Tribolium castaneum: one gene and its partner. The protein of the gene in region 1 interacts with the protein of each later gene in a pairwise test. Links are inferred from orthologs where the notes say so. Each region holds a gene or a part of one and is shown in the gene's direction. Other genes may lie near its edges.

Region 1 (3,202 bases):
TGCACAGGTAATTATATTGGACTCCAACCGGTGAACTGATTGATGGGCAAAGGACACACACCTAACCTTTGATTTGTTGTTATTTCCAGTTGCTGAAGCTGAAAAAGTGAAAGCAATTGATCCGAAGACCTATATCCTGAAATAGTAAGGTATCCCTCGTTACGAAATAGTGTCGTAACATTCCTCTCTTATCTGCTTCCAATTGTGGACGTGCGACGAGATAACTCTTATCACAATTGACCTTTGTGTAATAGAGTTCAGAACTATATTGTAACAGTTTTTTTGCACCATAAACAATTGCGATAAGATTAGATCGTCTGTTCCTATAAGAATTGAATGAATTTGTCCTTGAAGTTATTACACATGATGTGTTACACAAAACTGAGCCTACTTTGATGACTCTAGTTTACCACTACCCATTAACTGATGTCATTGATTGACTATCAGTTGTTAGTGATTTGTTTGATGTGTGTATTGATGACGTTTTTCTTGCCAGTGCGTAACGACAGTTTCTGGAATTACGTCATATCCATTCGACACCGTCAGAAGGCGTATGATGATGCAGTCTGGACGCGCTAAAGCTGATATTATGTACAAGAATACGTTGGATTGCTGGATCAAGATCGGCAAAACCGAAGGCCCAACTGCCTTCTTCAAAGGAGCGTTCTCTAACGTTCTCCGTGGCACTGGCGGAGCTTTGGTTCTTGTACTATACGACGAGCTTAAAGCTTTGCTCTAAACAGAAATAGTAGAATTATTACGGTTTAAATTATTAATTGTCTCATAATTTATTTGTTTCATTCCGTGGTTGATGCATTTTTTAGGCCGACATTCCTTTTTTTAACACTATCAGGCGCAGGAATTTACATTCCAGCAATTTTTTTTCGTTACACGGTTTTAATAATGGCATTGTAAGCTGAAGTATTGATAGCCCTGTATTTTAAATCCTGTATATTTTAACAGCCGTTTACCAATAAACAGTTGTGATAAGTTACTTTATTATTGTTTTTTTTCGTTATTGTTGGTAGTGTGAGACGTAATAAAGTTGTTAATATAGTTGAGGTCACGTGGTTTTATTCAGTTGTCGAATGCATTTCGTTGACCGCAAAACAATGTAAAAAAGTTGTCTTGTAAATGAGCTTGATTTGTGTAAATTCGGCAATAAAGACACTCGTAATCACTCAAGTTTTTCTCACGCAGACCCATTTTTTTAGGCAAATTTAAAATGAATAGCGTCCGTTAGCATTTTACAAAATTTAAAATTATCTAGGGACTTTTATTGTTGCTCTAACAAAGCGAGTAACAGTTAATACCAACCAAAATATTTCAAAGGGGTGGCTTTTATAAATTGGCTAAATCGGCCTTATTCATTTGCCTGCTAAATCCTTCTTTCTGGATTTAGTTTAAGAATCCCTTCAATAAAAAGTTTTATCAATTTCAAGTGCCAGAAGGCACAAATGTAGGGACATCTGACGTTTTTGGTTTAGTACCAACGTAGCTGTCATTTACCTGTCAAACAAAAGGATTGGCCCCAATTTTGCAAAAATGGCCCAAATCGGCGAACCATTGACCCTCCACCGAGGTAATCACATTTTTACTTAATTTTACGCAATTTTCCAACGTTTGTCATAGACATTAAGCGTTCCGTTGAGCTTTTGGAGAAGCTCCAGAAAAGTGGCGAAGTCCCGGCTACTAAACTCGCGGCCCTTCAGAAAGTCCTCCAGAGCGACTTTCTGAATGCAGTGCGCGAGGTCTACGAGCACGTTTACGAAACTGTTGATATTCAAGGGTCTCAAGACGTGCGAGCCTCTGCCACTGCTAAGGCCACAGTTGCAGCTTTCGCAGCCAGTGAGGGACATGCACACCCCAGAGTCGTGGAACTGCCAAAGACTGAGGAGGGTTTAGGGTTTAATGTGATGGGGGGAAAGGAGCAGAATTCCCCCATTTATATTTCTAGGATTATTCCGGGGGGTGTGGCGGATCGGCACGGGGGGCTGAAGCGAGGGGATCAGTTATTGAGTGTCAATGGAGTGGTGAGTGAGGTTTGATAAAGGGGTAAATATTAATAATTGTGGGGTAGTCTGTTGAAGGAGAAAACCATGAAAAGGCAGTGGAGTTGTTAAAACAGGCCCATGGCTCTGTCAAATTAGTGGTGAGGTACACCCCCAAAGTCTTGGAGGAGATGGAGTTAAGGTTCGACAAACAGAGGGCGAGAAGACGGCAGCAGTACAATTAAAAATAACTAGACAGAGTAGCCTATGACAAAGAAATTAAGTTGGCCACACTGAATTATTAGTAGTTTGAATTTGATAGTCAAAGTTAGAAACCCAAATTTCAAAGTCATAGGCTACTTTGACCAGACATTTAACCGAAATATGGTATTACATATTATTATTATTAGATTGTGTTGCATTTAAGGAATGATTGTATAGTTAGCACGATGTGCACTGGTCTCTAGAAGTACTGAATCTCAAGTACCCGTGTATTGACAAGTAATCCAAGTATTACATGTTTCCATTTTTTTTGTTATTTATGTTGTATTAAATAAATAATTACAAAAAACAAAATGGTTTCTTTGTTTTTTAATAAAATTTATTAAGTAACTCCCAACGTTGTATTTTACCGAATTATTTTTTAAATAAGGTTGATAAAAAATTTAAAAAAATTATTAAGGATTAACTTTCTCATTGAAACTATAAATTACATTAGACATCAATTTTTTGAAGTGCATAAACAATGCGCCGGTGGCGTTTTTATAGTTTTGAAACAGCTAATACGTGAGATAAACGTTGAGTATCAACAATTAATTGAAATAAAAGGTTTTGAGCCTTTTAAGTCGAACCTTACAAAGCCCACAACTACGGATCAGGGATTTTCGTTGAAAGTGAATGTGGTATTGAGACTTCTGTTACTTACACTTAAAATATTAAACACAACACTGGTTAGTTGTGGTGATTCGAATAAAAAAAATTGTATTCACAATTCGCGGCTTTCCTTTAGGGATTTTTGTGTGCGACTAGATTGGCAACGCTGGAAAAACACTGAGTAGCCGCCAAAAGTCATGGGTGGCTTCGTTTTTGTCTATTTTTTTAATTTGTCTGATTTCGTGTTTTCCTAGACTTGTGACTGTGTTAAACTAAAAGTTCAAAGTTCTAAGACCAATTATGTGAACAATTAGTGCCCAAAAGTGCAAAGACACTCA
Region 2 (3,828 bases), about 1.3 Mb from region 1:
ATTTTTTAAATTTCCTAAGTTTTTACTTTAGGATTAAGTATTTCTAACTTAAAATGACCGGGGGAATCCAAATTTGCAAGAACCAAATCGCTACGACTAACCGTTCGGAAAATATCGTCAAAAATTTAGTCTTCTCACGATTTGTCTAAACCAAACTTTCTTAATAATTTTTTAATTTTTCGGAGTTATTTCCTTAGGATTAAGTGTTTCTAACGTAAAATGACCTCCAGAATCCAAGTTTGCAAGATTCAAATCGCTGCGACTAACCGTTCGGAAAATATCGTCAAAAATTTAGTCTCCTCACAATTTCTCTAAACCAAACTTTCTTCGTTATTTTTTAAATTTTCGGAGTTTTTTTCTTAGGATTAAATGTTTTCAACGTAAAATGACCGGCGGAATCGAAATTTGCAAGAATCAAGTCGCTACGACTAACCGTTCGAAAAATATCGTCAAAAATTTAGTCTCCTCACAATTTGTCTAAACCAAACTTTCTTCATTATTTTTCAAATTTTTGGAGTTATTTCCTTAGGATTAAGTGTTTTCACCGTAAAATGACCGGCGGAATCGAAATTTGCAAGCATCAAGTCGCTACGACTAACCGTTCGGAAAATATCGTCAAAAATTTAGTCTCCTCACAATTTGTCTAAACCAAACTTTCTTCATTATTTTTAAAATTTTCGGAGTGTTATCCTTAGGATTAAGTGTTCCTAGCGAAAAATGACCGGCGAAATCTAAATTTGCTAAAATCAAGTTGCTGCGACTAATCGTTCGGAAAATACCGTCAAAAATTTAGTCTCCTCAGAATTTACCTAAACCAAACTTGCTACATTATTTTTCAAATTTTCGGAGTTTTTTTCTTAGGAGTAAGTGTTTTTAACGTAAAATGACCGGCGGAATCGAAATTTGCAAGAATCATGTCACTACGACTAACCGTTCGGAAAATATCGTCAAAAATTTAGTCTCCTCACAATTTGTCTAATCCAAACTTTCTTCTTTATTTTTCAAATTTTTGGAGTTTTTGCCTTAGGATTAAGTGTTTCTAACGAAAAAGGACCGGCGGAATCGAAATTTTTAAGAGTCAAATCACTACGACTAACCGTTCGGAAAATATCGTCCAAAATTTAGTCTTCTCACGATTTGTCTAAACCAAACTTTCTTAATAATTTTTTAATTTTTCGGAGTTATTTCCTTAGGTTTAAGTGTTTCTAAAGTAAAATGACCTCCAGAATCCAAATTTGCAAGATTTAAATCGCTGCGACTAACCGTTCGGAAAATATCGTCAAAAATTTAGTTTCCTCACAATTTCTCTAAACCAAACTTTCTTCGTTATTTTTTAAATTTTCGGAGTTTTTTTCTTAGGATTAAGTGTTTTCAACGTAAAATGACCGGCGGAATCGAAATTTGCAAGAATCAAGTCGCTACGACTAACCGTTCGGAAAATATCGCCAAAAATTTAGTCTTCTCACAATTTATCTAAACCAAACTTTCTTCATTATTTTTCAAATTTTTGGAGTTATTTCCTTAGGATTAAGTGTTTTCAACGTAAAATGACCGGCGGAATCGAAATTTGCAAGAATCAAGTCGCTACGACTAACCGTTCGGAAAATATCGCCAAAAATTTAGTCTTCTCACAATTTATCTAAACCAAACTTTCTTCATTATTTTTCAAATTTTTGGAGTTATTTCCTTAGGATTAAGTGTTTTCAACGTAAAATGACCGGCGGAATCGAAATTTGCAAGAATCAAGTCGCTACGACTAACCGTTCGGAAAATATCGTCAAAAATTTAGTCTTCTCACAATTTGTCTAAACCAAACTTTCTTCATTATTTTTCAAATTTTTGGAGTTATTTCCTTAGGATTAAGTGTTTTCAACGTAAAATGACCGACGGAATCGAAATTTGCAAGAATCAAGTCGCTACGACTAACCGTTCGGAAAATATCGTCAAAAATTTAGTCTCCTCACAATTTGTCTAATCCAAACTTTCTTCATTATTTTTCAAATTTGTGGAGTTTTTTCCTGGGGATTAAGCGTTCCTGACGTAAAATGACCGGCGGAATCGAAATTTGCAAGAATCAAATCGCTGCGACTAACCGTTCGGAAAATATCGTCAAGAAATTTAGTCTCCTCACAATTTGTCTAAACCAAACTTGCTTCATTATTTTTCAAATTTTTAGAGTTTTTTTCTTTGGAGTAAGTGTTTTTAACGTAAAATGACCGGTGGAATCGAAATTTACAAGAATCAAGTCGCTACGACTAACCGTTCGGAAAATATCGTCAAAAATTTAGTCTCCTCACAATTTGTCTAATCCAAACTTTCTTCATTATTTGTCAAATTTTTGGAGTTTTTGCCTTATGATTAAGTGTTTCTAACGTAAAATGACCGGCGGAATCGAAATTTTTAAGAATCAAATCACTACGACTAACCGTTCGGAAAATATCGTCAAAAATTTAGTCTTGTTACAATTTCTCTAAATTAAACTTTCTTCATTATTTTTAAAATTTTCGCAGTTTTTTCTTTAGGATTAAGTGTTCCCAACGTAAAATGATCGGCGAAATCGAAATTTGCAAGAATCAAATCGCTACGATTACCCCGTTCGGAAAATATCGTCAAAAATTTGTTCTTTACAGACGGTTTAAGAACTCTAGTAATGCATTATTATGAATTTTTTTGGGGTCAATCAATCGCGCTTAGCTCGTTTTGCCTTCTACTCAAGTCCTAAACTGATGTAATAGTTATGAGTCGATTTTGTTTTCGTAGATGCAAGATCTGTTCCGGCTTCGGTTTCCACGAACTAGTCTGCCAAAAATGCACCCACTACAAGAAAGACGAGCAATGCGAAGACGAATGTCGTTCCGGTGACTACGCAGACGAAGAAGTCCAAGAATGCAAACCTTGCGACCCTGAATGTAAAGGCTGCACTGGTCCAGGTCCCGAAAACTGTATTTCCTGCGAAAATTTTAAAGTTTTCGACGACGGATACGTTTCCGAAAACTCTTCCTTCCGCTGCGTGTCCTCATGCCCACCTGAATTCCCACACCGGGTTTTCCCCGACAATGCCTTCTCCTACTGTTCCGACAAACCCTTGAACTTGCCCATCTCTGGTTTCGTCGACAATAACTACACTGTGGTGATCGCCACGGGAATCACTAGTGCGATCATCATCATCATCATAATCATAATTTTGGTGACTTGGTTTTTTCGCAAGAAGGTCAAGGCGGAAGAGAGCACCTTGAAGATGACCATGGCGTTGACTGGGCTCGAAGACAACGAACCGTTGCGACAAACGAACGTTTCGCCCAATTGTAAAAAATTGCGCACGATTAAGGAAACGGAAATCAGGCGGGGGGATATTTTGGGGTATGGCGCCTTCGGAACTGTCTATAAAGGGGTCTGGATTTTGGAAGATGAGAACAATTCGAAAATCCCAGTCGCGATTAAAGTCCTCCGGGACGGATCAACCAGTAGCAAAGAATTTTTAAGCGAGGCGTTTATTATGGCAAGTGTGGAACACCCTAATCTCCTTCAGTTGTTGGGTGTTTGTATGACTTCCGAGATCATGCTCATAACCCAGTTGATGCCTTTGGGTTGTTTGCTCGATTTCGTCCGAAAAAACCGCGACCGCATCGGCGCTAAAGCCCTTCTCAACTGGTCCACGCAAATCGCCAAAGGAATGGCATACCTGGAGGAAAAACGCCTAGTCCACCGTGACCTCGCCGCTCGCAACGTCCTAGTCCAAACCCACTCCTGTGTCAAAATCACCGACTTCGGCCTTGCCAAGCTCCTCGATGTGGACGAAGACGAGTACAAAGCAGCTGGTGGTAAAAT

What was found.
Region 2: the proteins of veli (region 1) and Egfr interact in a two-hybrid assay, tested with the Caenorhabditis elegans proteins (3 studies listed by BioGRID). The link is inferred for Tribolium castaneum from reciprocal best matches to the Caenorhabditis elegans genes lin-7 and let-23.

The regions. Positions count from the first base shown.
Region 1 is NC_087394.1:2,339,909-2,343,110, reverse strand, and holds veli (protein lin-7 homolog C), read left to right. Parts: upstream 1-1,424; 5' UTR 1,425-1,545; coding exon 1,546-1,582; intron 1,583-1,632; coding exon 1,633-2,033; intron 2,034-2,080; coding exon 2,081-2,236; 3' UTR 2,237-2,567; downstream 2,568-3,202. Other genes in the region: ADP,ATP carrier protein 1, read left to right, coding at 1-7, 497-739.
Region 2 is NC_087394.1:3,686,458-3,690,285, forward strand, and holds part of Egfr (epidermal growth factor receptor), read left to right. Parts: intron 1-2,760; coding exon 2,761-3,828. UniProt on the Caenorhabditis elegans protein: Tyrosine-protein kinase receptor which, upon binding ligand lin-3, activates 2 signaling cascades: the let-60/Ras and MAP kinase signaling pathway and the let-60-independent phospholipase C-mediated Ca(2+) signaling pathway.